4 linked regions of the Arabidopsis thaliana genome follow. The protein of the gene in region 3 interacts with the protein of the main gene of each other region in a biochemical or structural test. Each region holds a gene or a part of one and is shown on either strand. Other genes may lie near its edges. The genes, in order: ETP2, ETP1, EIN2 and ETR1.

Region 1 (6,582 bases), on a different chromosome or scaffold from region 3:
CCTCTGAAGATCATTAGTCGACCTTACGACAAGTTATTAATGGTGAAATCGATTAGTAGAGACTCAGAGAAGTTAAATGCAGTTGAACCTGCTTTGAAACATTTCAGGTTTTCAATCTCAGGCTCTTACAATATCAACTTCTTTTAGTTTAGATATAGCAACTATGTTATTTAATCAATTGTAGACTTCTTCTTGAATTCAAAATTGTTTAGGTCGCTTGTTAATAAGTTAGAAGGAGTGAATCCAAGGAAGTTAAATCATGAAGAAAAGCTAGCTTTCTGGATTAATATACACAACTCTCTGGTTATGCATGTAATGTTAATTTCTCAAACTAAACTTCTTTTAACACCATCTTGTGATTAGTGACAAATCTCTCTAGATATTAATTAGCTATTTTGGGTTTGTTTTTGTCTCTTTTGCAGTCGATACTTGTCTATGGGAACCCTAAAAACAGTATGAAAAGAGTATCTGGGTTGCTGAAGGTAGGGTAATCTTACTTACAGTGCAGAACTACTTGGGACACAAGTCATCGGTAAATAAACAATTATTAGGGCTTTTCTATTGTGTAATATAGGCAGCTTACAACGTTGGAGGTCGAAGCTTGAACTTAGATACCATTCAGACTTCAATCCTTGGTTGCCGTGTTTCTCGTCCAGGACTGGCAAGTCTATGATTGTTTTCGATTCTGAAAATTGAACTTGATGAGGGCTGCTAATAAGGATTGGCGTATTTGCAGGTATTTAGGTTCTTGTTTGCTTCTAGATCAAAGGGTAGAGCTGGAGATTTAGGAAGAGATTATGCTATAACTCACCGTGAGTCTCTACTTCATTTCGCTCTTTGCTCGGGGAGCTTGTCAGATCCATCAGTAAGCAAATCCCCTGACTCAACATCGTTTCTTATCTTACACGCTATTCATATTGAAGGATTAGGTTATAAAGCAACACGATTCTTTTAGGTTCGTATATATACCCCCAAGAACGTGATGATGGAGCTAGAATGTGGTAGAGAAGAGTATGTAAGATCAAACCTAGGAATTTCCAAAGACAACAAGATTCTATTGCCGAAGCTTGTTGAAATATATGCCAAGGATACTGAACTCTGCAACGTCGGTGTTCTTGACATGATTGGGAAATGTTTGCCTTGTGAAGCAAGAGATAGAATCCAGAAGTGTCGCAACAAGAAGCATGGAAGATTCTCTATAGATTGGATTGCACATGATTTCAGATTCGGGTTGCTTCTCTGAAAAGAAAACACGACTCATGATTCGGATTAGTTATTTTTTTTTTCCTTTGTTTTCCATCTGATGTGAGCAATGAATTGAAGAACTTACAAAGTATCAAACTTTCTAGTTATGAGATATGTTAAGTTTATACCTTTATTGTTAAGGAACGACTACAGGATATTTCCGAGTAGCTTCAATCTCCATGGAACTAGTCCATCTGTAGAGTTTAAAAGTGAGCTAATCGATCCTCATTCTAAGAATTCAGCTGCTCCATTCGAAATATCACGAGTCTTTCACTGTGACGGCTTGTTGTTATGCACCTCCCATTTCGACGCATCTAGAGTCTTGGTTTGGAACCCTTTAACTGGTGAACCAGGTGGATCAGAACCGGCAATTTTCTCATAGAAGCTCGCAGCTTTGACCTCGGATACTGCCAAGTAGACAACAATTGCTGCAATAAGAGCTACAAAATCTTGAGCTCTCATCAACGTAGCGAATATTTTGATATCTACGATTTTAACTCTGATTCATGGAGGTTTGTTGAAGATATGATCCCTCCAGGCGTGAGCTTTGGATACTCTGAACTCAGTGTGTCTTTGAAGGGAAATACTTACTGGTTGGCTATAGTTGTAACAGAAACGCCCCGCACCATATCATTGCTCAAGTTTGATTTTTCAATAGAGAAATCTGTACTTGTGCCTCTTCCCTATCATAGTCTTCAGAGTCGTCGTTTTGAAGCTAGTAGCCTTTCCGTTGTTAGAGAAGAGAAACTTTCTGTGTTATTACAGCGAGATATAAGTTCCAAGACTGAGATATGGGTGACAAGTAAGATTGATGACACCACCAAAGTGGTGTCTTGGAGCAAGATCTTAGCATTGGATTTGAGCCCTCATCTTCAGATTTGGAATGATGCAAGTTTCTTGATAGGCGAAGAGAAGAAAGTCATCATGTGTGAGAGATTGGTTGATGTGCACACGTCCAAAGTCATGGTCTACATTGTTGGGGAGAACAATGTTGTCACACAAGTGGAATTTGGGGTTGTTGAAATGGATGGATGTTGGGCAGTTATCTTTAATTATGTTCCAAGTTTGATTCAAATCGAGCAAGCTGGAGGCAATAGGAACATAGGTAAATAAACACCGTCTACATGTAATATCTTTGTGCGTGTGTGTATGTGTGTGTGTGTGTGATCATGTTCTTTCAGTTTCAGGCTTTTCTAATTCAATGACTTAAAGTGATTCAGAAAACATGTACAAAGATACAAGTTGTGTGTGTGTTTTTCTTAATTTTACCCTGTCTCTTGTCTGAGTTTTCTTTTTCACCCAAGATACAAGTTTTACAACTATAAATCATCGCCCAATTCACCTTGCAAGTTCTACCACTAAGCCAAGCATGGTATGTTGCAAGTATAATTGGTGTTTTCTCTATATCTTACAAACACACAGCTTAAAGTTGCAAATATTTGGACCAGAAAACAATCCCCAAATTACTTGAAACCACAACTTGGCTTGTTTTATATATTGTAACGTGCAAGGAGAGGAGCAAGAGATATCGCTGAGATTTGGGTAAACATGGCCAAGATATCCAGTCCATTCGGTAGGACCTGCTTGTGTAGAAAAAACAGCAGTAACATAGAATGGCCAGTTGGGAACTCTGATTCCATGTGACCACAAATTATATTATTTATTACCATGTCTCAGTTTGGAATAACAAAGCTTAGCAAGTTAGCAACACTAAGATCACAAAAGGTAAAAAAAAAAAAACAGAGCTTCTTAGCAAGTTAGTAACACTAAAATCAGGGTTATACATGCATCTAGTCTTTTTAGCAACAGAGGAAAACCTTCACAGTTCTAGTGTTCTACCAAGTAGTTCCAGAAAGTAAACACATATATTCAATCTAATAAGCTATTACAAGAAATTCAATGCTCAATATGATCTCATGGGAACGAAACAGGGGAAATTTGATTGCCACAAATATATGGGCTTTTAAAGTGGGCCTTGTTAGATTCTTATCAGGTCCATGTCACTCACTATTCAACATTTTACTGCTGAACTCAACTGTGGGAAGAGGAAACCCTAGAGATTTGGTAACAGCAGAGATCAATGAAGACAATACAGGAGCAGCTTCCAAATGACTTGGTAGAGGAGATACTCTGTCGCGTTCCGGCAACATCTCTGAGACGTTTACGATCGACTTGCAAAGCATGGAACCGTTTATTCAAAGGTGATCGGATATTAGCAAGTAAGCATTTTGAAAAATCCGCAAAACAGTTTAGATCTCTATCGTTAAGGAATGATTACAGGATTTTTCCGATTAGCTTCAATCTCCATGGAAATAGTCCATCTCTAGAGCTTAAAAGTGAGCTAATCGATCCTCATTCTAAGAATTCAGCTGCTCCATTCGAAATATCTCGAGTCATTCACTGTGAGGGATTGTTGTTGTGCTCCTCCCAATTGGACGAATCTAGAGTCGTGGTTTGGAATCCTTTAACCGGTGAAACCAGGTGGATCAGAACCGGCGATTTTCGCCAAAAAGGCCGTAGCTTTGATGTCGGGTACTACTACCAAAAAGACAAGAGATCCTGGATCAAGAGCTACAAACTCTTGTGCTATTATCGTGGTACCAAATATTTTGAAATCTACGATTTTGACTCTGATTCATGGAGGATTCTTGATGATATTATCGCTCCACGGGGGAGTATTGGATACTCGGAACTTAGCGTGTCTCTGAAAGGAAATACTTACTGGTTCGCTAAAGGTGTAACAGAAGAGCGGCCCCGCACCATATCATTGCTCAAATTTGATTTTTATACAGAGAAATCTGTACCTGTGCTTCTTCCCTATCAGAGTCGTCGTCTTTTCCAAGCTAGTAGCCTTTCTGTTGTTAGAGAAGATAAACTTTCTGTGTTATTGCAGCTAGATCAAAGTTCCAAGACTGAGATATGGGTGACAAATGTGATTGATGAGACCACCAAAGGAGCAGTTTCTTGGACCAAGGTCTTAGCATTGGATTTGAGCCCTCATCTTCAGATTGGGAATGATGGAAGTTTCTTCCTAGGCGAGGATAAGAAAGTCGTCATGTTCTGTGAGAAATTGATTGATGAGAACAAGGTCAAAGACATGGTCTACATTGTTGGGGAGGATAATGTTGTCACAGAAGTGGGATTTGGAGTAGATGAAATGGATGGATGTCGGGCAGTTATTCTTAATTATGTTCCAAGTTTGGTTCAAATCGAGCGAGCTGGAGGCAACAGGAAAAGAGGGCACTAAACACTGTCTACATGTAATCTCTTTTCTTTCTGTGCGTGTGTTTCTCTTAATTTTATCTTTGTCATGTTCTTTCAGTATCAATCAAGCTTTTCTAATTCAATGAAAAAAGTGATTCAGAAAACATGTAAGAAGCTTTCACCCTATCTCTTCTCTGAGTTTTCTTTTTTTCACTCAAGTTACAAGTTGTACAACTAGAAATTATCACCCAATCCACCTTACAAGTTCTACCACTATCACCCAATTCACCTTACAAGTTCTACCACTAAGCCAGGCATGGTATGGTAAAATAAGCCAAGTATGGAGATCCCCTCAATTGACCAGATTGGACAAGACAACCCTCCACGGCCAGGTAAGGTAACATGAGCTTCAGATCAAGCACCAGCAAGATTACAATGACCTCAACGTTCAGGCGATCTCCTAAACCTTGTTCTATTTTTCTTACTAAACCCCAATATACTAAAAAGCCCATAATATTTATTCTTACAGGGCCGCAATTGATCCAGATCTTCTCAATCTCAGTTGGTTAACGTTATTCATCAATATGTAATAAATCATCAAAAAAATTTGGTCAAAAATTAAATCGACAGCTAAAAGTTTGAACATAAAATTCGGTAACAGAAAACAGTAAAGCCACCGACGATGTAAAGTTATTATAGAAACGAAATTCAATGTGTTGTTGACTTTCGTTTCTATGATAACTTTGGCAGCTTTTGAAGTTAATGCATTTTGATAACTCCAAAGAGAGGAAAAAACGAATCATCAGCCAAAACGCCGTCGTACAGGCTCCAAAACCTTCATCGTCTTGGCGTCTTTTGTCTGAGACCCATAGTAATATAAGAAAGTGTGTATCCTAGTCAGGAAAATTCAACGTACATAGTAACAAATTATTTATTTCTCTATGACTATACGTTATATCATATTCATAAATGAAATCCGTATTTTAGCAGCATTAAATAAGAGAGGTGAAGAAATAAAGGTATGGTTATTATTTATTTATACTAAATAGTAATAAATAAACGAACCTTGTTGTGAATGTGAGCAGCTGAGCAATTTCTGAATCTCTCTATCTTCTTCTGTTTCGTTCATTTTAATTCCATTAAATGCTTAAACCCCACATTCCATTAATGCTCTCTCCTTCCACTTCAATATTTCTTTTTATCATCACCACCGTCCAAATTTCATCTTACATCTCTGCCCTACACGTGTCTCTTCTTCTCCATCTCTCCGGCGATAACAGTGCCTCTGGATCTCCGCATCTTAACCGGCTCGATGAGTGCGGTGCTGTTCTGAAGAACATCGGACTCGTCATCGATTTCGTTCGCCGCGATGAGCTTCCCGTCGCTGGAATCCGTTCTGATATCGGGTAAAACACTCCCGCCGATGATCTCCGTCGGAAGAACGGTGATTTCGTGCTTCTGTAGTAACGGAACGAGAACACTCTTGATTTCGATATTAGGTTTCCGAACGGTGATTGACGTTTGTTCCATGTAGATCTCCGGTATCTCCATGGAGACACCGTCGCTGGCTCCATCGTTACTCTCTCTGATTCAGATTCTCTCTCGCATTCGAACGAGTACGATCTCTTCAGCTCCCGGAACCGAGAAATCGCCGGTGATGATTGCTCTTCCACCGACGCTCTGATCTCCTGATCGTTCGTCGTATCGGCAGCGATTGTGTTCCAATTGCTCCGCGACGGTGTGATTTCGCCGCGGATGATGATCGCGTTATTCTCTTCATCATCGAGACTCGGACGAATTCGAGGAGCCATTAACGGAACGAACGGCGACATAGGCGTTAAAACTCCGGCGGATCCGAGAATCGCCGTACGGCATAACGGACAGTTAGGGTGAGATCGGAGCCATTCATCGATGCATTCAAGGTGAAAAGCATGGAAGCATAACGGAAGTGTTCGTACATAATCACCTTCTTCGAATTCCAACAAACAAACAGCACAATCTCTGCAATTGGCGGCGGAGGTTTTCCCCACCGCGGGTTTTCCGGTGCAAGCAGCGGCGGAGTAGAGAAACAGCGGTAAAGTTTTGATAACGGAATCGTCTAATCCGTAAGGTGAGTAAGAAGAGTAATGAAAA
Region 2 (6,889 bases), on a different chromosome or scaffold from region 3:
TAATTACTTAACACTTAGAAAAAACTTGAAATAAAGTGTTTGCATGTGTGTTGTTATCCCTGTTTCAATTTCTAGGGACTATATCTGAAGATTCACTAAACAGTGTCCATTTCTTTTGTTTTATCTTGGACTAGAGATCTAAAAGGGATACACTAATCTGATCATTTGTTCTTAAGAAATGTAGAGAATTTAAGATCTGACATTTTGTTACTTGTTTCTGAAAATCTCATTATGTTGAATAACTTTGAGCAGAAGATTCCGCCAAGATTCGTGAAGCTACAAGGGTCTAAACTCTCAGAGGTTGTTACATTAGAGACTCCTGCGGGTTTCAAGCGTTCCATTAAGCTCAAACGGATCGGTGAAGAGATTTGGTTCCATGAGGGTTGGAGTGAGTTTGCAGAGGCTCATTCCATCGAGGAAGGCCACTTTCTCTTGTTCGAATACAAGGAGAATTCGAGTTTCCGTGTAATAATCTTCAATGTTTCGGCTTGCGAGACCAAATATCCACTGGATGCAGTTCATATCATTGACAGCGACGATGATATAATCGATATTACAGGCAAAGAGTTTGTTGGAACTCAAGGTACAAGGAAGAATAATCAATCTGTTAATGGTGGTGATACAGAGCACAAATCCAAGAAGAGATCAAGAGACATCGAACTTGACAAGATTCTACACGGTAAGAAGACTTTGTTCTTAATATAGATTAAGAAGATTGGGATCTGAATATTTTTAATCTATGTGTAGATCTTGATGTGATGAATCCAATGCATGTGCTTAAAGAAGAAGAAGAAGACAAGAGAGTCTTCAGGGGATAACAGAGCTTTTAACAGAACCGAGACCTGCAAGTTTATTTGTTGTGTAATGTTAATTAATGACTTGATGAAACTAAAAAACTTTCATTGCAAAATGAGTAGTGTTTTGAATCCTGACCTGTAACAAGCTATGTTAAACAAAACTGTAACCAGGTCTTGTTTTGATTCTTCTTTCTTTCATCTCCTTCCTCAGCTTCTCTACCTCTACCCATTTCCCTTTATGAGCTAACACATTCGATAAAGCGACATAATCTTCGCACTCAGAACCCGAAAGCTTCTCGTCCTCTCGTTCTATCTCGAGAAGAGCCTTTCCGATCTCTTCACCCATTACAGTCTCTCCATAAATGCTGCAGGCATTGCAGAGGCTTCTTAACAAGATAGCGTCAGGCTTTATAGGCATAGCTAATATAAACTGATAAGCCTCTTGTATCCGCCCTGCCTTACCAAGAAGATCTACTATGCAACCATAGTGTTCGATAACCGGTGTGACACCAAATCTTGTCTTCATGCTCTTGAACAGCTCGATTCCTTCTTCAACAAGACCTATATGACGATAAGCCGAAAGCAAGCTAGTGAAAGTTATTTCGTTTGGTTTGATCCCAGATTCCGCCATTCGGTTTAGAAGATTCGGTGTTTCGTTTCCTCTACCGTTGAGAGCTAGCCCCGTTGCCATTGAAGTCCATGTAAAGACATTTTTCACTTTCATTAGCTCGAACACGGAGAATGCGTTGTTCAAGCAGCCGCATTTTGAGTACATGTCGACAAGTGCAGTACCGATAAAGACATCAACTTCGGGTGTGAACCCGAGCTTTTCTATGTAACCATGAACGAGAGAACCAATTTCGAGCAAACCCGTCTGAGAAATGGCTGAAAGAACACAAACCATGGTTGTATCAGTAGGTCTAACTCCACTACCACAGCAAGAGAATCTCCTAAACAAAACCATAGCCTTTCTCGCATTGTGATTGCCTTTATCCTTATGTGAACAATATCCACCTATCATTGCGTTCCATGTAACAGAGGTTCTCTCAGGCATTTCGTCAAACACCTTCCTTGCATAACGTAAATCTCCATTCTTAGCGTAGAAATGGAGTAAAGTGGTTCCAATCAATTCAGATTCATATAGAAAGCCAAGCTTTTTCACCATCCCATGAACAATTCTACCAACCCGTAACGCCGACGACGAAGCTGACCTAGCACAAGCGCCAAGGACGAAGACAAAAGTGCGCTCATTGAGATAAAGCAACGAACTTTTTGATGCATAATTGGCAAAAATCCGAATCGAGTCCTCTGGTTTGCTACATTTAAGCAATGTGTTGAAGAGAAACTTATCAGGATGACCAAATCGAGGAAACACTAGTAAATGAGCAAGCTTTGAGCTGCTTTCGGTTGATGGCTTTGAACAGTAATGGCCTATGAGTTTGCCAAATAGAGAATTATCATGGCAGCCATTGATGACTAATTGAGCATGGATTTGCTTAGCTTGAATTAGGGTTTTCGAATTCTGTTGCAACAAGGACAAAAATCTTGGTCCTGGAAAAACAGAGCTCATAAGCACCAAACTCTGATACTGTAATGGATTAAGGCAAAGAGAAGGAGAAACAAAAGCTAAGAGATAAAATAAATATCGAAGAATCTACAGCACAAACCCATCTTCATCATAATCATCATCATGGCTACAAGTACCAAATTTGATGGAGATTAGGTATTTACAGACTTCTTCTTAAACCCTAACTTTGTTTGTTCTACTCAAACAATTTGAGTTCCACTCAAGAGGTTATATATAATGAGGTAAAAACAACTTATCCACATCGATAACACAAAGTAAACCCGAGAGAAAAAACGAGACACTGACGCAATAACGACACAGACCAGAAGAGAGTTTTTTTAGTTGTTTTTAAATTAAGATACTCCTACACTGTAAATCCCTTTCTAGTGAGAGCTAGCTACTACCACTGGATTCAGTCTTCAACAAATTATCATATCCTCAAGCGCATCATCACAACAAACACTTGTCATACTAGACAAACACTCCAATAAGCTTCTGTCACGTGTCCCTTATATTCCTCCACTCCACTCCACTTTTGCCCATGTCATTCATTGCGCATCTCTGTTTTCCTATAACAAATCTCCCGTATTTGAGAAATCTTTACCTCAAGGTAGTTTGAGACAGATGATAAAACATCTAATTTGCTAATTTCAAAAATTACATGGACTATGGTGTCGCCTATGCGATGTCTACTGCTTCATTGATCAACCTCAAAAGCTAATCCGAAAATTATGAACAAAATTCTAACAACATAGAACAGAAACATACAGCTCTCTCTATATCATTTGATCAGATAATCTCAACGAACCCACCTCAGATTATACAAAAGCAAAAAAAACACTAGAGATTCTTTCGCTGACAATCCATACGCTTTTTAAACTATTGATCCCTCCAGAACTGTATCCGATATTCACAGATTTTGCCTTGATTTTGGAAGGCGGAGGAGGATAGACCGGTACGGATGTCGGTGAAAAAAACTTGGAATCGTTATCGTGTTGGCCAGGTGGTTTTTTTTTTTTTACACGTCAGCATATTTGGCCGGTCCTACTTATCTAAAGTACAGTAATAATGTCATACACGTCAGCGTAAACTGATAGATCTTCCTTGGACAAAATCTACTTCCGATAATGTTGATTCCCTTCTGTCTGAATTCTCTCTAGTGTAAAAAATATTCTCTTGAATCCTTGGTTTTCCATAGCGTGTGTGTATTGATTTACAAATATAGAATCTACAGAAAACAAGATTGAGGGTGCAAAAATGAAAATATATTCAGAATTGAGGGAGCAATTTGTTACATTTCCTCTTTCCAGTCTATGTATATATCTCGCAAGAGGAAAGCTGAAGAAAAGCAAAACCCTAGAAAATAAATAATATTCCGTGGCGCCTGCGGCAGAGATCAATGACGATACCGGATCTCTGTAACGATTTGGTCGATGAGATACTCTGTCGCGTTCCGGCGAGGAATCTGAAACGGTTACGATCTACCAGCAAACGATGGAACCGTTTATTCAAAGATGATAGGAGATTCGCAAGAGAGCACATGCATAAAGCCCCAAAGGAGTATCTACCTCTCATGTTGACAAGCGAGTACAGGATCTGTCCGGTGAGCATCAATCTCCAAGGAGATGTTCCTTCTGTAGTGTTAAAGAGAGAGCTTAGCCTACCAGATCCGGATTATTCACATCAATTCGATATAGGTCGAGTCTTTCACTGCGACGGCTTATTGGTATGCAACCACGTAGGCAAGAATCCCCGATACGGATCTAAAATCGTGGTTTGGAACCCGCTGACTGGTCAAACCAGGTGGATCGAAGCCGGCTATCGTTGGAAGGAATACGAAGTCAGATTTGTTCTCGGATACTGCTACCAGCAAGACGAGAACAATTCCTGCAGTAAAAAAATCTACAAAATTTTGTGTTTTTATCCTAATGGCCAAGATACAGAAATCTACGAGCTTAACTACTCTGATAGGTGGACAAGGACGATTCCTGATGGTGATCTCACTCCAGGCTGGACCTTGATATACTCAGAGCAGACCGTGTCTATGAATGGAAATCTTTACTTGTTTGCTTCGGAGAAATCAAAACCCCATCTTGGCGTGTCCTTGCTCAGATTTGATTTCTCAACAGAGAAATCATCTCTATGTGTGACTCTTCCCTATCAGCGTCCAAGGTATGAAATTTTGAGTATTTCCGCCGTTAGAGGAGGAGAGAATCTTTCTCTGTTGTTGCAGCTCGATTTTGAATCTAAGACTGAGATATGGGTGACGAATAAGATTGATGACACCACCACCAAAGGAGCAGCAGTCTCTTGGACCAAGGTCCTAGCATTTGATTTAAGCCCTGATCTTCAATTATTTTCGGAGGAGGTAAATTTTTTGCTTGACGAGGATAAGAAAGTCGCTGTGTGTTGTGAGAGATGGTTGGAACCGCAAGAGCACCACAGGTACCAGTGCAGGAGAGAGTACAAGATCACCGACAAGATATACATTCTCGGGGAGGATAATAAAGTCGATGAAGTAGGTTCTGGAGAGGGAGAGGCTACAGATTCACTTGAAGGAATTTCGCAAGTTATTCTCAATTACGCTCCAAGTTTGGTCCAAATCGAGCAAGCCGGAGGAGGCAAAACAAAAAGAGGTGACGACTAAAACAACCTCTACATGTAATATTAGTTTTTTGTGTTTTTCTTAATTTATTTTTGTCATATTTTTTGAATAATCCCCTGATCGAGCGACCTGGAAGTAGAAGAGGCCCTTAAATTTTCTTGTTCATGTTCTTTGAATAATCCTTTGAACTGATATCTCAATAAGATTGTAATATTGTAGTTGTCCCTTGCTTGATTTACACACGGTTTTCTTTTTTTTTTAAGTTTTATGATCAAAACATGTCTGGTACAGTATATGTCTAGAGAACAAGTGTTGTGTCTAAAACTTCAACCATTTCTAATTCAATGACAAAAGTAACTCATGTTCGAAGCTCCGAGTTTCTTTTTCACCTAAGTTTCAAGTTGTACAAACAACTAGAAGTCATTATTACCCATTCGCATAAATCTAGCATATATTGGACCAAAACATAACCCACAAATTATTTAAAACCACAGCTAAGCTTGTGGTTTTTTTGGGGCATCCAAAGTTGAAACATATCAAATGTTTACTCATGATACTACACTCCTTGATTGTCGTTTAACCTAGTGTTATGCAAATATAAACGCACGCATATCAGCAAGAGATCCATAGAGTTTACTGCAGGGATTTTGACCAGCACTGCATCTTCCTCTCGTTTCAATTATGCATCCCCTGACATCAGCATGACAATCTAACAGTCAACCACAATTTAGTGGTGATCACATGGTTAAGCATGTGCCAATTACGTACCGTACCTTGTAGCTGTAAGAGCGGGTGCCTGCACCTTGGGAATCTGGATGTTTTCTTATGTAATCTACTGCTTCACCTCTGTATGTCTGCTACCACAGTTCCCACCTACAATCTTATATATGCATTTTCCTTCAATACTCCCATTTTCACCAGTATCCTCAAGCAAACTGCATGAAGAGGGTTTCCAATTATCTCAGAGGTGATCAAACAACAACTTCATCAAATTCTAGACGTTGGCTTGAAGGCTATTCTTAAGTTTGTTATCTCAAGTTCCCTCCTTGTATTCCACCAGAACAGTTTGTCTTTCTACTCAAATTTGATGGAGATTAGGTATTTACAGACTTCTTCTTAAACCCTAACTTTGTTTGTTCTACTCAAACAATTTGAGTTCCACTCAAGAGGTTATATATAATGAGGTAAAAACAACTTATCCACATCGATAACACAAAGTAAACCCGAGAGAAAAAACGAGACACTGACGCAATAATGACACAGACCAGAAGAGAGTTTTTTAGTTGTTTTTAAATTAAGATACTCCTACACGACATTGTACTTGCAAATCCAGAATGATCACACCATAATGCTTTGTTCAGACGTACTCGTTGACTCGAAAGGCTGTCACTTTCAAAACGAAATCTCTGGTTCTGAGCAGCTCAAACACACAGACGTCTCCTTCTCCTAAGTTGTTCTCTAGAGTGAATTCGTACCATCCTTGACTGAATTTGGCTCTCCCGGCTTTGTAGAGACATCGAACAGGCCATTGTTTCTCCGCAAGCTGGACTTTGATGAACCCGGAGATCCCACTTAGGTACTTCTCAGCAAACCCAGAAGGAAGATACTGTTGAGAGAAACAGAAACAGAAGGCTTCTTTTAGAGATCAGTGAAGACACCGATAAGATTAAGTCTTCCTAAGATGTTTTTTTATTACCATGATGCAACCTCTGTATAGATAGGATGGTCGCAGAACCACTCTGAAGAAAGGGTTTGTTGGTTCGAACGTTTTGGCTGCATTGATGGCTCTCTCTCTTTCTTCTGCAGTCACGGTTCTCTTTCTCGCAGAAGCACTCTCGTAGAACTTTGAACGGTTCTCTGGATCATCATCTCGCGGAGCTGATGAGTTTATTTCCTCTGTAAGGACAATATCAAAAGGAT
Region 3 (10,384 bases):
AAATAATTTAAATTGTCCCTTACACTAATGAAAGGTTATGTTAACAAAAATCCATTTTATTAATAGATTGATAGTACTAATAAATAAATATTTGGACACAAAGCCCAAAAGATCACAATCTAGTTAAAAAAAGATCGACAAGAAAGATTCTTTAAGCTGATGAATGATCTGTACCATGTAGCTTTGTTCCCTTTTTGGTTAACTGCCCAAACAACATCAACGAGACTTTATAAAAAAAAAACTTCCTTATGACCAAACTAAATAACTGAAATTGATTTATTAGTCAAAACATATTAAAGAACTTATTTGTATGATATCATTATACATTCCATATGTAACTGAAATATGACTATCTTGACTCTTTGAAGAATTCTGACTTTTTTTATTCAGTCAAACTTTTAAATTGTGTTGGTTACTCATCGGTACGGATAAAAAAATTCGTATGTGTTATTTCAAAAGTACTTGAAGAATATTGTTTCTATATATATTTATAGTGTTATAAAAAAACAAGTGTGGTCTCTATGTTATGGTTCATTGAACATATACATCAACATAGGACTGAGAGGAGCCCATGTTCCTTTCATTGATGCAAAATTTTAGTTTCTTGTGTTTTAATTTGCTTCCTATCCAATGTACATGTATATATACTTTCACAAGAGAATATGGATAATGTTGAGTATGTTAAATATATAGTGACAAGTTACATAAAAAAAGCCTAAAGAAATCAAATTGGAAAAAATAGTAAGGTACAATGTATGGTTATCGAAAGCCCAAGCTGTACTTCCATTGATGTAGGAGATGATTAGGAACACGTGGATTATATTTGACCAAAAATAGTAGAAATTCTATTTATATTTGTTTTCTTCTTTTGGTTTTGGGTTTGATTTTGTGATTTGGATAGTTCGGTTAAGGATGGTTTGATCAATCAATATAACCATACTAAAATATGATTCAGTTAACTAACTATAGTAACTGTTTCTTCGTTAGTAAAATGATACATTTATTGGAATCTATTGACAAATCTTAATGACTTATTATAACTGGTGATAACAAAATCTAGCTATTATTTTGTATCCAACTACATATTTTGTATAAAATGGAAATTCGTATATGATATTTGTTTAGTTTAAAAGTAGAGTGTATTTGTTTTTTCAATGATGATTTAATGAAATCAAGCTCTTAGTTGAGATCAAAAGACAAATAAAACAAAATGTTTTTTTTTGTTTTGTTTCTTTTCTATTTGAGGGAAGGCCATGAATTCTTATTTTTGACAAATAGTTGTTCTATGCAATTAATATTGATGTCTAATACATATACAGCAGAATAAATAAAAACTTGCTATATAAAGACGTATTATTTATAGCATTCTGTGGAGTATAATGTCGAATCCTGTTCTCATTTCCGATTTTACATATTTATGGTACTAACGCCTTCATTTATTTTTCCATTTTCGTTAGTCAACAACTTCAGCTTTTGATAACGCCTAATTGTATCATCAACTTTAGTTAGTTTTCTCAAATAACGTCATTTTCAAATAAAGTTTTTGATTTCTCTTTTATTATATTTATGCAAAAGGAAAATTATAATTTCAGTATTTTGCAGAACGCTGAAATGTATAATAGAACCTATTCATGTATTTTTGTAAAATTTTAAAGATTGTTTTAATACTAAAATAAGTAAATCATTAAAAAAATTCCTAGACATTGGTCTCTAATATAAGATAAATAGATCTAAATTATGTTTGGATTTTAATTCTAATAAAAAGGTAGCCAAAAGTTATATATACAATATTTAAACAATTTTATTTGTTTAAGATTTGAATTTTATAGTATGCGAGAATCGCGTAAACTTTTCTCGAATGTAACAAAAAATTTCAAATCTTCTCGACACATGTAATCTTTTGCGAGTTAGAAGATTTGATTCCTTATTTTTTGTTCGTATTCTTAAAGTTAGTCACGTTTATATTATTTTTCGCTTTGTAACCGTCCCTTTAAATTTTTAATAAAAATTAAAAAAATTGCTAGAAAACAACATTTTTGTATTACTCAAATCAAAAGTACAAAAATAAATTTAGCTAGCGTTTCACAAAATCAAGTAAAATAATCTCCATTTGAAACTCCATAATCAAGCTGTTTGATGTATTATTATTACATGTAATGAGGAGAAAGAGGGGTCGAGAAATTTAAAGTAATAATAATTCTCTTCTTCGTCCATGGAATAAACTACGATTAGTTTAAAAAGATTAATAAAGATGGATTAAAGAAACTATATGTTAAACCTGGAAAATTTATTTAAAAAGACGTTTTTTTAGCTATAAGAAAAAAAAGAATAATACCTTTATTTTTACATGTTATTTACAAGTAATAATTTTTTTTTTCTCTCTCTCTCTTTGAAGGTGGCACGAGCACCCATAACCTTCAGACCTATAGATACAAATATGTATGTATACGTTTTTTATATATAAATATTTTATATAATTGATTTTTCGATCTTCTTTTATCTCTCTCTTTCGATGGAACTGAGCTCTTTCTCTCTTTCCTCTTCTTTTCTCTCTCTATCTCTATCTCTCGTAGCTTGATAAGAGTTTCTCTCTTTTGAAGATCCGTTTCTCTCTCTCTCACTGAGACTATTGTTGTTAGGTCAACTTGCGATCATGGCGATTTCGAAGGTGACTTCTTTCAAAAACCCTAATCCTCTGTTTTTTTTTTTATTTTGCTGGGGGGCTTTGTACGGACTTTCATGGGTTTTTGTAGCTTTTCCCTCGGCTTTTGCGCAAATGAGACTTTCTGGGTTTTTTTTCCAGCTTTTTATAATTTCATCAGGTGGATCGAATTCGTAGTTTCAGCTTAGATCTCTCTCCCTCTTCATTATCTGGACTTTCCAGACTTGGAGTTCTTCGGGATTGTTTTCGGTTTCTGGGTTTTGTTTTAATTGCGAGATTTAAGCTTTTTTCTTTTTTACTACTGTACTTGGTTTGTGGTTGACCTTTTTTTTCCTTGAAGATCTGAATGCGTAGATCATACGGGATCTTTGCATTTTTGTTGCTTTTCGTCAGCGTTACGATTCTTTTAGCTTCAGTTTAGTTGAAATTTGTATTTTTTTTGAGCTTATCTTCTTTTTGTTGCTGCTTCATACTAAGATCAATTATTGATTTGTAATACTACTGTATCTGAAGATTTTCACCATAAAAAAAAAATTCAGGTCTGAAGCTGATTTCGAATGGTTTGGAGATATCCGTAGTGGTTAAGCATATGGAAGTCTATGTTCTGCTCTTGGTTGCTCTGTTAGGGCTTCCTCCATTTGGACCAACTTAGCTGAATGTTGTATGATCTCTCTCCTTGAAGCAGCAAATAAGAAGAAGGTCTGGTCCTTAACTTAACATCTGGTTACTAGAGGAAACTTCAGCTATTATTAGGTAAAGAAAGACTGTACAGAGTTGTATAACAAGTAAGCGTTAGAGTGGCTTTGTTTGCCTCGGTGATAGAAGAACCGACTGATTCGTTGTTGTGTGTTAGCTTTGGAGGGAATCAGATTTCGCGAGGGAAGGTGTTTTAGATCAAATCTGTGAATTTTACTCAACTGAGGCTTTTAGTGAACCACGACTGTAGAGTTGACCTTGAATCCTACTCTGAGTAATTATATTATCAGATAGATTTAGGATGGAAGCTGAAATTGTGAATGTGAGACCTCAGCTAGGGTTTATCCAGAGAATGGTTCCTGCTCTACTTCCTGTCCTTTTGGTTTCTGTCGGATATATTGATCCCGGGAAATGGGTTGCAAATATCGAAGGAGGTGCTCGTTTCGGGTATGACTTGGTGGCAATTACTCTGCTTTTCAATTTTGCCGCCATCTTATGCCAATATGTTGCAGCTCGCATAAGCGTTGTGACTGGTAAACACTTGGCTCAGGTAAACATTTTTCTGATCTCTAAAGAACAAACTTTTTAAAATAACAAACTGGGCTCTGTGGTTGTCTTGTCACTTTCTCAAAGTGGAATTCTACTAACCACCTTCTCTATTTTTCTAACATTTTAATGTTCTTTACTGGGACAGATCTGCAATGAAGAATATGACAAGTGGACGTGCATGTTCTTGGGCATTCAGGCGGAGTTCTCAGCAATTCTGCTCGACCTTACCATGGTAGTTACTTACAATCTTTGCTGTTCTTAATTTTTTTATTATGTGATAAAATTTTGATTCCTCTGACTTGAGCTTCTCTATTATAAACAGGTTGTGGGAGTTGCGCATGCACTTAACCTTTTGTTTGGGGTGGAGTTATCCACTGGAGTGTTTTTGGCCGCCATGGATGCGTTTTTATTTCCTGTTTTCGCCTCTTTCCTTGTATGACTGGTCTTCCTGTCTTGTTTTTTTTCTCCACGTTCTTGAAATAGCATTATTGGAAATTAGCTGACATGCATACAATTTCTGACAGGAAAATGGTATGGCAAATACAGTATCCATTTACTCTGCAGGCCTGGTATTACTTCTCTATGTATCTGGCGTCTTGCTGAGTCAGTCTGAGATCCCACTCTCTATGAATGGAGTGTTAACTCGGTTAAATGGAGAGAGCGCATTCGCACTGATGGGTCTTCTTGGCGCAAGCATCGTCCCTCACAATTTTTATATCCATTCTTATTTTGCTGGGGTACCTTTTTTCTCTTTATATGTATCTCTCTTTTCTGTTAAGAAGCAATAATTATACTAAGCAGTGAACGCTCTATTACAGGAAAGTACATCTTCGTCTGATGTCGACAAGAGCAGCTTGTGTCAAGACCATTTGTTCGCCATCTTTGGTGTCTTCAGCGGACTGTCACTTGTAAATTATGTATTGATGAATGCAGCAGCTAATGTGTTTCACAGTACTGGCCTTGTGGTACTGACTTTTCACGATGCCTTGTCACTAATGGAGCAGGTTTGTTCTGACGGTTTTATGTTCGTATTAGTCTATAATTCATTTTTAGGGAAAATGTTCAGAAATCTCTCGTGATTATTAATTATCTTGTTCTTGATTGTTGATCACAGGTATTTATGAGTCCGCTCATTCCAGTGGTCTTTTTGATGCTCTTGTTCTTCTCTAGTCAAATTACCGCACTAGCTTGGGCTTTCGGTGGAGAGGTCGTCCTGCATGACTTCCTGAAGATAGAAATACCCGCTTGGCTTCATCGTGCTACAATCAGAATTCTTGCAGTTGCTCCTGCGCTTTATTGTGTATGGACATCTGGTGCAGACGGAATATACCAGTTACTTATATTCACCCAGGTCTTGGTGGCAATGATGCTTCCTTGCTCGGTAATACCGCTTTTCCGCATTGCTTCGTCGAGACAAATCATGGGTGTCCATAAAATCCCTCAGGTTGGCGAGTTCCTCGCACTTACAACGTTTTTGGGATTTCTGGGGTTGAATGTTGTTTTTGTTGTTGAGATGGTATTTGGGAGCAGTGACTGGGCTGGTGGTTTGAGATGGAATACCGTGATGGGCACCTCGATTCAGTACACCACTCTGCTTGTATCGTCATGTGCATCCTTATGCCTGATACTCTGGCTGGCAGCCACGCCGCTGAAATCTGCGAGTAACAGAGCGGAAGCTCAAATATGGAACATGGATGCTCAAAATGCTTTATCTTATCCATCTGTTCAAGAAGAGGAAATTGAAAGAACAGAAACAAGGAGGAACGAAGACGAATCAATAGTGCGGTTGGAAAGCAGGGTAAAGGATCAGTTGGATACTACGTCTGTTACTAGCTCGGTCTATGATTTGCCAGAGAACATTCTAATGACGGATCAAGAAATCCGTTCGAGCCCTCCAGAGGAAAGAGAGTTGGATGTAAAGTACTCTACCTCTCAAGTTAGTAGTCTTAAGGAAGACTCTGATGTAAAGGAACAGTCTGTATTGCAGTCAACAGTGGTTAATGAGGTCAGTGATAAGGATCTGATTGTTGAAACAAAGATGGCGAAAATTGAACCAATGAGTCCTGTGGAGAAGATTGTTAGCATGGAGAATAACAGCAAGTTTATTGAAAAGGATGTTGAAGGGGTTTCATGGGAAACAGAAGAAGCTACCAAAGCTGCTCCTACAAGCAACTTTACTGTCGGATCTGATGGTCCTCCTTCATTCCGCAGCTTAAGTGGGGAAGGGGGAAGTGGGACTGGAAGCCTTTCACGGTTGCAAGGTTTGGGACGTGCTGCCCGGAGACACTTATCTGCGATCCTTGATGAATTTTGGGGACATTTATATGATTTTCATGGGCAATTGGTTGCTGAAGCCAGGGCAAAGAAACTAGATCAGCTGTTTGGCACTGATCAAAAGTCAGCCTCTTCTATGAAAGCAGATTCGTTTGGAAAAGACATTAGCAGTGGATATTGCATGTCACCAACTGCGAAGGGAATGGATTCACAGATGACTTCAAGTTTATATGATTCACTGAAGCAGCAGAGGACACCGGGAAGTATCGATTCGTTGTATGGATTACAAAGAGGTTCGTCACCGTCACCGTTGGTCAACCGTATGCAGATGTTGGGTGCATATGGTAACACCACTAATAATAATAATGCTTACGAATTGAGTGAGAGAAGATACTCTAGCCTGCGTGCTCCATCATCTTCAGAGGGTTGGGAACACCAACAACCAGCTACAGTTCACGGATACCAGATGAAGTCATATGTAGACAATTTGGCAAAAGAAAGGCTTGAAGCCTTACAATCCCGTGGAGAGATCCCGACATCGAGATCTATGGCGCTTGGTACATTGAGCTATACACAGCAACTTGCTTTAGCCTTGAAACAGAAGTCCCAGAATGGTCTAACCCCTGGACCAGCTCCTGGGTTTGAGAATTTTGCTGGGTCTAGAAGCATATCGCGACAATCTGAAAGATCTTATTACGGTGTTCCATCTTCTGGCAATACTGATACTGTTGGCGCAGCAGTAGCCAATGAGAAAAAATATAGTAGCATGCCAGATATCTCAGGATTGTCTATGTCCGCAAGGAACATGCATTTACCAAACAACAAGAGTGGATACTGGGATCCGTCAAGTGGAGGAGGAGGGTATGGTGCGTCTTATGGTCGGTTAAGCAATGAATCATCGTTATATTCTAATTTGGGGTCACGGGTGGGAGTACCCTCGACTTATGATGACATTTCTCAATCAAGAGGAGGCTACAGAGATGCCTACAGTTTGCCACAGAGTGCAACAACAGGGACCGGATCGCTTTGGTCCAGACAGCCCTTTGAGCAGTTTGGTGTAGCGGAGAGGAATGGTGCTGTTGGTGAGGAGCTCAGGAATAGATCGAATCCGATCAATATAGACAACAACGCTTCTTCTAATGTTGATGCAGAGGCTAAGCTTCTTCAGTCGTTCAGGCACTGTATTCTAAAGCTTATTAAACTTGAAGGATCCGAGTGGTTGTTTGGACAAAGCGATGGAGTTGATGAAGAACTGATTGACCGGGTAGCTGCACGAGAGAAGTTTATCTATGAAGCTGAAGCTCGAGAAATAAACCAGGTGGGTCACATGGGGGAGCCACTAATTTCATCGGTTCCTAACTGTGGAGATGGTTGCGTTTGGAGAGCTGATTTGATTGTGAGCTTTGGAGTTTGGTGCATTCACCGTGTCCTTGACTTGTCTCTCATGGAGAGTCGGCCTGAGCTTTGGGGAAAGTACACTTACGTTCTCAACCGCCTACAGGTAACAAAAACCGCAGTAGTTCATTGAAAATCACAGTTTTGCAGTTTGAAAATATTGACATGTATGGATTTAAACAGGGAGTGATTGATCCGGCGTTCTCAAAGCTGCGGACACCAATGACACCGTGCTTTTGCCTTCAGATTCCAGCGAGCCACCAGAGAGCGAGTCCGACTTCAGCTAACGGAATGTTACCTCCGGCTGCAAAACCGGCTAAAGGCAAATGCACAACCGCAGTCACACTTCTTGATCTAATCAAAGACGTTGAAATGGCAATCTCTTGTAGAAAAGGCCGAACCGGTACAGCTGCAGGTGATGTGGCTTTCCCAAAGGGGAAAGAGAATTTGGCTTCGGTTTTGAAGCGGTATAAACGTCGGTTATCGAATAAACCAGTAGGTATGAATCAGGATGGACCCGGTTCAAGAAAAAACGTGACTGCGTACGGATCATTGGGTTGAAGAAGAAGAACATTGTGAGAAATCTCATGATCAAAGTGACGTCGAGAGGGAAGCCGAAGAATCAAAACTCTCGCTTTTGATTGCTCCTCTGCTTCGTTAATTGTGTATTAAGAAAAGAAGAAAAAAAATGGATTTTTGTTGCTTCAGAATTTTTCGCTCTTTTTTTCTTAATTTGGTTGTAATGTTATGTTTATATACATATATCATCATCATAGGACCATAGCTACAAACCGAATCCGGTTTGTGTAATTCTATGCGGAATCATAAAGAAATCGTCGGTTTGAAATGTTAAATCTCCTAAACCGGATCTCTGCACGTAGCTGACACATCGACGCTAGATTACTGACACGTGTCCTTATCAATATTTCTTCTCGAAACGTCTTACTGTTTCATAAAGTCCTTCAAATTTCTGGGGAACTAAGAAAATCCAGCAGAGTAACTAATCCAATGGGTTATGTAATCTACATATCGTTCCCGGCGATTCTTCTCCTTCTGATCGTCGCTATCGCCTTTTATCTCATCGGACGAAAAATCGGCCGGAGAGAAGGGATTCAATCAACGTCGCAGTTACACTACGGACCGCCGTTGGCTAATTTTCCGGCACCTGCACCACCGCATAAAGCTATGGAGAAGCCACCGGAGCCGGTTTAGTGTATGTATGATGACGTAATAATACTTACGTATTACGTAAACGTTCTATATATGTAGTTTGTGTGTTAAATAAGATGTAATTGGGCCGATGCTGAAACCAATTTTAAAACAACTCTTTATTGGGCCTGGGGTTTAAGGAAACACTTCGTGCCGTTTAAATTCCGTACTCACCTAATGCAACCTAGAAACTACGCAGCGTTTTGACGGAAGAAGAAATATTCGCTTCTTCTTTTACAACTTTTGTCCCACAACGCAGAAAAGTCCTCTCTTTCTCTCTCTCGAATAATAATTTTTCATTTGCTGCGTCCTTTTGGTGCTTGAAGCGATGACCATGGCAGCAAATCTAGCGCGACGGCTGATCGGAAACCGATCGACTCAGATCCTTGGAGCCGTGAACTCTAGCTCAGGTGCGGCTAGTTCTGTCGCTAGGGCTTTCTGCTCCTCCACCACTCCGATCACCGCAACTCTCTTCCCTGGCGATGGGATCGGTCCCGAGATCGCCGAATCTGTCAAAAAGGTCCCTCATCCTAATCTCTTTTCTGCGCAGAATTTCGAGTTCTGGAAGTCATAGTTACGAGATAATTGTTTGATTGAATTTTGTACGATAATTTGTGGGAATTCGGCAATTTTGTTGATAGTTTTTGCGTTTTGTACTGATCCAGGTGTTTACAACAGCTGGTGTACCAATTGAGTGGGAAGAACACTATGTTGGGACTGAGATAGATCCGAGAACACAGAGTTTCTTGACATGGGAAAGTCTCGAATCTGTGCGTAGAAACAAAGTTGGTTTGAAAGGTCCAATGGCTACTCCAATTGGGAAAGGTCACCGTTCTTTGAACCTGACTCTTAGGAAAGAGCTTAATCTATATGCCAATGTTAGACCTTGTTACAGTCTTCCTGGTTACAAAACTCGTTACGATGATGTTGATCTCATTACCATCAGAGAAAACACGGAAGGAGAATACAGTGGCCTTGAACATCAGGTTTAGTTTGTTTTAAGTCTATTGATCGAATATTTCAGGTTAGTTCTTCTAATAAATGATTCTAATGATGGTTTTGTTTTCTCCTGACGCATATAATAGGTTGTTAGAGGTGTGGTGGAAAGTCTTAAAATCATTACCCGTCAGGCGAGTTTGAGAGTTGCAGAGTATGCTTTTCTCTATGCCAAGACTCATGGAAGAGAGAGAGTTTCTGCTATCCACAAAGCCAACATTATGCAGAAAACTGACGGTCTCTTTCTCAAGGTCTGCCCGTTTTATAACTCCAAGCATTTCTTATACGGAGGGATCAAAGCAATGATTGTTATTTCTGCTAGTTTTTTTTTTTTTACATTTTGTTCTGAGACCATTTTTATTTTGCTTCCGTTTTTCAGTGTTGTCGTGAGGTTGCTGAGAAGTATCCTGAGATCACTTACGAGGAGGTCGTTATTGACAACTGCTGTATGATGGTAAGCTATGACACCGAATCTACTATTTTTTCGTTAATTAAGTTAGTGGTCGGGACTCGGGATCACCTTGTAGATTTAGAAGTTTGGTTTCTTAGCAACTTGTATTTGAGTTCTGCTTTTCCACTGTTTTTACATGTGGAATATGCGAC
Region 4 (8,294 bases), on a different chromosome or scaffold from region 3:
AAGAATTCTATATTAACGTGAAAGAGAAACAAATCTTACCATCGAGTTTAAGGAACCCGGAACCAAGAATGGCAACATCCTGTCGTGCACGAGCATCAAGTCTCATAATACCACTGCAAAACACAAACCTCAACACATAAGAAACCTCCACTAATGCATAAGTTCTAGATTCTGTAACCGTTGGATACGCGGAAAATTACCGAGATAGAAGAACAAAGTCATTACGAGCTCTTTCATTCACAAACTTAGCATCATTAGACACATATTCCACCAAAAGTTGGCTTGAGTTACTACTTTTCCTCCTCGGCATCACTTGCTTCTCACCTTCTTTTTGTACAACTTGGGAACTAACAACACATCACACAAGAAACTTATAACTAAGCATGAAACAAAACCAGACCAGTTTGATCTGTAAAGGCTAACAACTAAAAGGGCTTACTTAGTTTCAGTGTCTTGAGACTTTCCAACAAAGCACAATGTAGAACATCTCCGAGAACTAACAAAAGTGACAGTCTTTGTACAACAAAGACCTTGCTTTAACTCTTCAATAGATGAACCCTTATTAGCAGCTAAAGGATGATGAACATACGCCAACAGAACTCTTCGAGATCTTGAAGCATTAACACTCTTAACTAAAATTGGACTATTGGGAACAACCTTGCTCACGTTAAGAGCCATTGAGATAAACCTAAATATCAAAATTGATTCAGATAAACTTATCAAGGCATCAAATTTATAAAATTCTCGATTTTAGAACGACATAAAGATACAATTTTGCTTAAATGTAGAGATTACCCACTTGAATCAAACTCAAAGTATTGATTTTTAAGACAAAGCCCATCAAGGAAAAATTGGGAATTGGAGAGATGAAACAGTGAAGAACACAGATTCGATAGAGAAGAGAGACTAACCTTGTGGGAAGAAATGAAGAAGAAGAGTAATCCAAAGAAGGATTTAGGATTTTAGGGAGAAAGAAGAGGACAAAGAAGGAGAATTATGGGATTAGAAGTGAAAATTGTAACCACAAGAGTTACTTGTGGACCAGTGTGAGCCAACCATGTCCTAAGTTTTCTTTCTATTTCGATTCTCTGGTCATTATAGTATTGGCCCCACTCTTTCCCTTAATATCAATTTGGTTCAATCCATATATTTTGGTATTGCGATTTTTATTCTTATTTTAAATTGAAGGACCAACACTTATATATAAAGAATATACACCAATCTATTTATTATTAATTAGATTTAATTTGGAAATCCATAAAATTTAATACAGTAAAATCTCTATAAATTAATAATGTTGAGACCACAAAATTCTATTAATTTATAAAGGTATTAATTTATCGATAAATTAATATTTATTAATTTACAGAGAGATTTTCCAAAAGTGGTAATTTTTTTTTTAATTTCTATAAAAATTTAAGATTCATTCCATTATCTAAAATATATTTTTAGAACCAATTACAAATAGAAATAATTATCATGTCTAGAAAACAACAAGAAAAGTTTTTGATAGAGTAAAAATATTAAAATGAAATAAAAAAAAACTTATACAAATTTAAGTAAAAAAAAAACAATATTAAAATTATATTTCTCTGTAATTTATGATATTAATGGGACCCTATGTTTATATAAGATTTTCAAAAAAACTATTATCTTATTAATTTATCGATTTGTATCACTTTTTACAGTGGTTCCAACTCGGGACCGAAAAAATTTATTAATTTATAGAGATTATTAATTTATCGAGTATTAATTTATAGAGGTTTTACTGTATGTATCAAAATTTCGTGTGTTGAGATTTAATACTGATCTTAAAATGAGATTCAGTTCGAGATAGGCTGATTAGAGCCATCATCTTGAAGGTATATATTAAGATTCCATATTGTAAGTTTGAAGTAATCAACACTAGTATATATGAGACATAAACGTTGGTTGAGAATTGAATCGATGAAATTTAGTTTTGTTTGGATTTTGATTTGACTGGTTAAGGTCTTATGTACATTTTTCGGAGGATTGATTTCAAAAAAAACTAATGTAATAATTTTATATAATTGCTTAATATACTTTTGGTTTAGGATCAAATTTCTGGTTAACTCTGATTTAGTTTTGAGGTACTGAAAACCTATATTATGTCAATTTGGAGATATATTACAGTTAACCAGATATAACATTAGTAGTTTGATATATCTCCAAGTTGACATAATATAGCTTTTATTCACATGAACATATTTGTTTGATTCAACTTGTTTTACTTCTCTTACAACTATATAATGTTTTATACAAACGATTATTTACATAAGATTACACTTAAAACTCATAATTTTATATTGGCTAAACATATATATTGCTTAATCTCCAAATGACATTATCATTCTCCTTTTTTGAAATCATACGAATCAATGTAAGGTGAAAGTTAGTGAAAACAATATTTTGCATTTTTTGGTGAAACCATAAAGATAGTATTTGTTGATAAATATGGGGATATTTATCCTATATTATCTGTATTTTTCTTACCATTTTTACTCTATTCCTTTATCTACATTACGTCATTACACTATCATAAGATATTTGAATGAACAAATTCATGCACCCACCAGCTATATTACCCTTTTTTATTAAAAAAAAACATCTGATAATAATAACAAAAAAATTAGAGAAATGACGTCGAAAAAAAAAGTAAGAACGAAGAAGAAGTGTTAAACCCAACCAATTTTGACTTGAAAAAAAGCTTCAACGCTCCCCTTTTCTCCTTCTCCGTCGCTCTCCGCCGCGTCCCAAATCCCCAATTCCTCCTCTTCTCCGATCAATTCTTCCCAAGTAAGCTTCTTCTTCCTCGATTCTCTCCTCAGATTGTTTCGTGACTTCTTTATATATATTCTTCACTTCCACAGTTTTCTTCTGTTGTTGTCGTCGATCTCAAATCATAGAGATTGATTAACCTAATTGGTCTTTATCTAGTGTAATGCATCGTTATTAGGAACTTTAAATTAAGATTTAATCGTTAATTTCATGATTCGGATTCGAATTTTACTGTTCTCGAGACTGAAATATGCAACCTATTTTTTCGTAATCGTTGTGATCGAATTCGATTCTTCAGAATTTATAGCAATTTTGATGCTCATGATCTGTCTACGCTACGTTCTCGTCGTAAATCGAAGTTGATAATGCTATGTGTTTGTTACACAGGTGTGTGTATGTGTGAGAGAGGAACTATAGTGTAAAAAATTCATAATGGAAGTCTGCAATTGTATTGAACCGCAATGGCCAGCGGATGAATTGTTAATGAAATACCAATACATCTCCGATTTCTTCATTGCGATTGCGTATTTTTCGATTCCTCTTGAGTTGATTTACTTTGTGAAGAAATCAGCCGTGTTTCCGTATAGATGGGTACTTGTTCAGTTTGGTGCTTTTATCGTTCTTTGTGGAGCAACTCATCTTATTAACTTATGGACTTTCACTACGCATTCGAGAACCGTGGCGCTTGTGATGACTACCGCGAAGGTGTTAACCGCTGTTGTCTCGTGTGCTACTGCGTTGATGCTTGTTCATATTATTCCTGATCTTTTGAGTGTTAAGACTCGGGAGCTTTTCTTGAAAAATAAAGCTGCTGAGCTCGATAGAGAAATGGGATTGATTCGAACTCAGGAAGAAACCGGAAGGCATGTGAGAATGTTGACTCATGAGATTAGAAGCACTTTAGATAGACATACTATTTTAAAGACTACACTTGTTGAGCTTGGTAGGACATTAGCTTTGGAGGAGTGTGCATTGTGGATGCCTACTAGAACTGGGTTAGAGCTACAGCTTTCTTATACACTTCGTCATCAACATCCCGTGGAGTATACGGTTCCTATTCAATTACCGGTGATTAACCAAGTGTTTGGTACTAGTAGGGCTGTAAAAATATCTCCTAATTCTCCTGTGGCTAGGTTGAGACCTGTTTCTGGGAAATATATGCTAGGGGAGGTGGTCGCTGTGAGGGTTCCGCTTCTCCACCTTTCTAATTTTCAGATTAATGACTGGCCTGAGCTTTCAACAAAGAGATATGCTTTGATGGTTTTGATGCTTCCTTCAGATAGTGCAAGGCAATGGCATGTCCATGAGTTGGAACTCGTTGAAGTCGTCGCTGATCAGGTTTTACATTGCTGAGAATTTCTCTTCTTTGCTATGTTCATGATCTTGTCTATAACTTTTCTTCTCTTATTATAGGTGGCTGTAGCTCTCTCACATGCTGCGATCCTAGAAGAGTCGATGCGAGCTAGGGACCTTCTCATGGAGCAGAATGTTGCTCTTGATCTAGCTAGACGAGAAGCAGAAACAGCAATCCGTGCCCGCAATGATTTCCTAGCGGTTATGAACCATGAAATGCGAACACCGATGCATGCGATTATTGCACTCTCTTCCTTACTCCAAGAAACGGAACTAACCCCTGAACAAAGACTGATGGTGGAAACAATACTTAAAAGTAGTAACCTTTTGGCAACTTTGATGAATGATGTCTTAGATCTTTCAAGGTTAGAAGATGGAAGTCTTCAACTTGAACTTGGGACATTCAATCTTCATACATTATTTAGAGAGGTAACTTTTGAACAGCTCTATGTTTCATAAGTTTATACTATTTGTGTACTTGATTGTCATATTGAATCTTGTTGCAGGTCCTCAATCTGATAAAGCCTATAGCGGTTGTTAAGAAATTACCCATCACACTAAATCTTGCACCAGATTTGCCAGAATTTGTTGTTGGGGATGAGAAACGGCTAATGCAGATAATATTAAATATAGTTGGTAATGCTGTGAAATTCTCCAAACAAGGTAGTATCTCCGTAACCGCTCTTGTCACCAAGTCAGACACACGAGCTGCTGACTTTTTTGTCGTGCCAACTGGGAGTCATTTCTACTTGAGAGTGAAGGTTATTATCTTGTATCTTGGGATCTTATACCATAGCTGAAAGTATTTCTTAGGTCTTAATTTTGATGATTATTCAAATATAGGTAAAAGACTCTGGAGCAGGAATAAATCCTCAAGACATTCCAAAGATTTTCACTAAATTTGCTCAAACACAATCTTTAGCGACGAGAAGCTCGGGTGGTAGTGGGCTTGGCCTCGCCATCTCCAAGAGGTTTGAGCCTTATTAAAAGACGTTTTTTTCCAACTTTTTCTTGTCTTCTGTGTTGTTAAAAGTTTACTCATAAGCGTTTAATATGACAAGGTTTGTGAATCTGATGGAGGGTAACATTTGGATTGAGAGCGATGGTCTTGGAAAAGGATGCACGGCTATCTTTGATGTTAAACTTGGGATCTCAGAACGTTCAAACGAATCTAAACAGTCGGGCATACCGAAAGTTCCAGCCATTCCCCGACATTCAAATTTCACTGGACTTAAGGTTCTTGTCATGGATGAGAACGGGTTAGTATAAGCTTCTCACCTTTCTCTTTGCAAAATCTCTCGCCTTACTTCTTGCAAATGCAGATATTGGCGTTTAGAAAAAACGCAAATTTAATCTTATGAGAAACCGATGATTATTTTGGTTGCAGGGTAAGTAGAATGGTGACGAAGGGACTTCTTGTACACCTTGGGTGCGAAGTGACCACGGTGAGTTCAAACGAGGAGTGTCTCCGAGTTGTGTCCCATGAGCACAAAGTGGTCTTCATGGACGTGTGCATGCCCGGGGTCGAAAACTACCAAATCGCTCTCCGTATTCACGAGAAATTCACAAAACAACGCCACCAACGGCCACTACTTGTGGCACTCAGTGGTAACACTGACAAATCCACAAAAGAGAAATGCATGAGCTTTGGTCTAGACGGTGTGTTGCTCAAACCCGTATCACTAGACAACATAAGAGATGTTCTGTCTGATCTTCTCGAGCCCCGGGTACTGTACGAGGGCATGTAAAGGCGATGGATGCCCCATGCCCCAGAGGAGTAATTCCGCTCCCGCCTTCTTCTCCCGTAAAACATCGGAAGCTGATGTTCTCTGGTTTAATTGTGTACATATCAGAGATTGTCGGAGCGTTTTGGATGATATCTTAAAACAGAAAGGGAATAACAAAATAGAAACTCTAAACCGGTATGTGTCCGTGGCGATTTCGGTTATAGAGGAACAAGATGGTGGTGGTATAATCATACCATTTCAGATTACATGTTTGACTAATGTTGTATCCTTATATATGTAGTTACATTCTTATAAGAATTTGGATCGAGTTATGGATGCTTGTTGCGTGCATGTATGACATTGATGCAGTATTATGGCGTCAGCTTTGCGCCGCTTAGTAGAACAACAACAATGGCGTTACTTAGTTTCTCAATCAACCCGATCTCCAAAACTCATCCATGGCTTCTTCTCCTTCTCCTCCAAAACTAATCCAAATCCAAACAAACAACAACAAATCCTCATCGACTACATCTCCAAATCCCTCCAATCCAACGATACCTGGGAAACTCTCTCCACCAAATTCTCCTCCATAGATCTATCAGATTCCTTAATCGAAACAATCCTTCTCCGATTCAAAAACCCCGAAACCGCCAAACAAGCTTTATCCTTCTTCCATTGGTCATCCCACACTCGAAATCTCCGTCACGGAATCAAATCTTACGCATTGACGATTCATATCCTTGTCAAAGCTCGATTACTAATCGACGCTCGAGCTTTAATTGAATCGTCTCTGTTAAATTCTCCTCCCGATTCGGATTTAGTCGATTCGTTGTTAGATACTTATGAGATCTCATCTTCTACTCCTTTAGTGTTTGATTTGTTAGTTCAATGTTACGCTAAGATTAGGTATTTGGAATTAGGGTTTGATGTGTTCAAGAGATTGTGTGATTGTGGATTTACTCTTAGTGTGATTACTTTAAACACGTTGATTCATTACTCTTCGAAATCGAAGATTGATGATCTTGTGTGGAGGATTTACGAATGTGCGATTGATAAAAGGATTTATCCGAACGAGATTACGATTCGGATAATGATTCAAGTGTTGTGTAAAGAAGGGAGATTGAAAGAAGTTGTTGATTTGTTAGATAGGATTTGTGGTAAGAGATGTTTACCTTCAGTGATTGTGAATACGAGTTTAGTGTTTAGGGTTTTGGAAGAGATGAGAATAGAGGAGAGTATGAGTTTGTTGAAGAGATTGTTGATGAAGAATATGGTTGTTGATACTATTGGTTATTCGATTGTTGTTTATGCGAAAGCTAAGGAAGGTGATTTGGTGTCTGCACGGAAGGTGTTTGATGAAATGCTTCAACGAGGTTTTAGTGCGAATTCGTTTGTTTATACGGTGTTTGTTAGAGTTTGTTGTGAAAAGGGTGATGTTAAAGAAGCGGAGAGGTTGTTGAGTGAGATGGAGGAGTCTGGAGTCAGTCCGTATGACGAGACGTTTAATTGTCTTATCGGTGGTTTCGCGAGGTTCGGGTGGGAAGAGAAAGGTTTGGAGTATTGTGAGGTAATGGTAACGAGAGGGCTTATGCCTAGTTGTTCGGCTTTCAATGAGATGGTTAAGAGTGTAAGTAAGATTGAGAACGTGAATCGCGCAAATGAAATCTTAACAAAGTCGATAGATAAAGGGTTTGTGCCCGATGAACATACGTACTCTCATCTGATTCGAGGGTTTATAGAAGGAAACGATATCGATCAAGCGCTTAAGCTGTTCTACGAGATGGAATACCGAAAGATGTCTCCTGGTTTCGAGGTGTTTAGGTCACTAATTGTGGGACTCTGCACTTGTGGTAAAGTGGAAGCCGGAGAAAAGTACTTGAAAATTATGAAGAAGAGGTTGATAGAGCCTAATGCAGATATATATGACGCATTGATTAAGGCATTTCAGAAAATTGGTGATAAAACAAATGCTGATAGAGTTTATAATGAGATGATTTCAGTCAGATGATTCAAACCGGGTGGTTTAGGAGGGTGTCTGGGTTGTATGAATTTAAGCTCCATTGAGCTTCATCTTGGGAAAACTTGATTTTGTATCTTGGGTCAATGACCCAACGATCATGTATTGGACCACAGAAAAATGAAAGTCAACTTATAGAAACTTAAAAGAAAAAACAACTTTTAGAATTTTACAACGTCATTTTTTTTATTGTCAACTTCCATTCCACCAAACGTTTGGTAACGTGTCGAAAAAATATAAGAAACCAGAGGAAAAGAAAAGGCTAAAACCATGGAACTAGAGATCGAAACAGGGAATTGCAGGAGTGACGTCTATAACCAGAGGATCGTAGTGACGTCTATATTTTCATGACGCTAAAAATCGTTTCACGTCTTCGGTAATGAGATGGCTGCAACCAG

Evidence for each region.
Region 1: the proteins of EIN2 (region 3) and ETP2 form a complex in vitro, tested with the Arabidopsis thaliana proteins (one study listed by BioGRID).
Region 2: the proteins of EIN2 (region 3) and ETP1 form a complex in vitro, tested with the Arabidopsis thaliana proteins (one study listed by BioGRID).
Region 4: the proteins of EIN2 (region 3) and ETR1 form a complex in vitro, tested with the Arabidopsis thaliana proteins (2 studies listed by BioGRID).

The regions. Positions count from the first base shown.
Region 1 is NC_003074.8:6,518,435-6,525,016, forward strand, and holds ETP2 (EIN2 targeting protein2), read left to right. Parts: upstream 1-3,134; 5' UTR 3,135-3,325; coding exon 3,326-4,492; 3' UTR 4,493-4,627; downstream 4,628-6,582. Other genes in the region: AT3G18900 (ternary complex factor MIP1 leucine-zipper protein), read left to right, coding at 1-107, 213-312, 423-482, 575-661, 737-865, 956-1,243; AT3G18905 (F-box/associated interaction domain protein), read left to right, coding at 1,771-2,358; AT3G18915 (uncharacterized protein), read left to right, coding at 5,617-5,855, 5,984-6,038; AT3G18930 (RING/U-box superfamily protein), read right to left, coding at 5,676-6,582. UniProt on the Arabidopsis thaliana protein: Negative regulator of EIN2 protein stability.
Region 2 is NC_003074.8:6,542,751-6,549,639, forward strand, and holds ETP1 (EIN2 targeting protein1), read left to right. Parts: upstream 1-3,449; 5' UTR 3,450-3,763; coding exon 3,764-5,011; 3' UTR 5,012-5,342; downstream 5,343-6,889. Other genes in the region: AT3G18960 (AP2/B3-like transcriptional factor family protein), read left to right, coding at 253-679, 748-818; MEF20 (mitochondrial editing factor 20), read right to left, coding at 949-2,367; VRN1 (AP2/B3-like transcriptional factor family protein), read right to left, coding at 5,802-5,904, 6,337-6,575, 6,666-6,865. UniProt on the Arabidopsis thaliana protein: Negative regulator of EIN2 protein stability.
Region 3 is NC_003076.8:784,930-795,313, forward strand, and holds EIN2 (NRAMP metal ion transporter family protein), read left to right. Parts: upstream 1-2,498; 5' UTR 2,499-2,668; intron 2,669-3,201; 5' UTR 3,202-3,659; coding exon 3,660-3,908; intron 3,909-4,052; coding exon 4,053-4,139; intron 4,140-4,229; coding exon 4,230-4,340; intron 4,341-4,431; coding exon 4,432-4,644; intron 4,645-4,725; coding exon 4,726-4,911; intron 4,912-5,021; coding exon 5,022-7,682; intron 7,683-7,759; coding exon 7,760-8,137; 3' UTR 8,138-8,475; downstream 8,476-10,384. Other genes in the region: IDH-V (isocitrate dehydrogenase V), read left to right, coding at 9,114-9,305, 9,451-9,771, 9,871-10,032, 10,161-10,235. UniProt on the Arabidopsis thaliana protein: Central factor in signaling pathways regulated by ethylene (ET) and involved in various processes including development, plant defense, senescence, nucleotide sugar flux, and tropisms.
Region 4 is NC_003070.9:24,731,467-24,739,760, forward strand, and holds ETR1 (Signal transduction histidine kinase, hybrid-type, ethylene sensor), read left to right. Parts: upstream 1-2,695; 5' UTR 2,696-2,817; intron 2,818-3,186; 5' UTR 3,187-3,231; coding exon 3,232-4,137; intron 4,138-4,212; coding exon 4,213-4,581; intron 4,582-4,658; coding exon 4,659-4,913; intron 4,914-4,995; coding exon 4,996-5,123; intron 5,124-5,213; coding exon 5,214-5,411; intron 5,412-5,539; coding exon 5,540-5,900; 3' UTR 5,901-6,252; downstream 6,253-8,294. Other genes in the region: AT1G66330 (senescence-associated family protein), read right to left, coding at 40-113, 201-347, 440-678; AT1G66345 (Pentatricopeptide repeat (PPR) superfamily protein), read left to right, coding at 6,253-7,887. UniProt on the Arabidopsis thaliana protein: Ethylene receptor related to bacterial two-component regulators. Acts as a redundant negative regulator of ethylene signaling.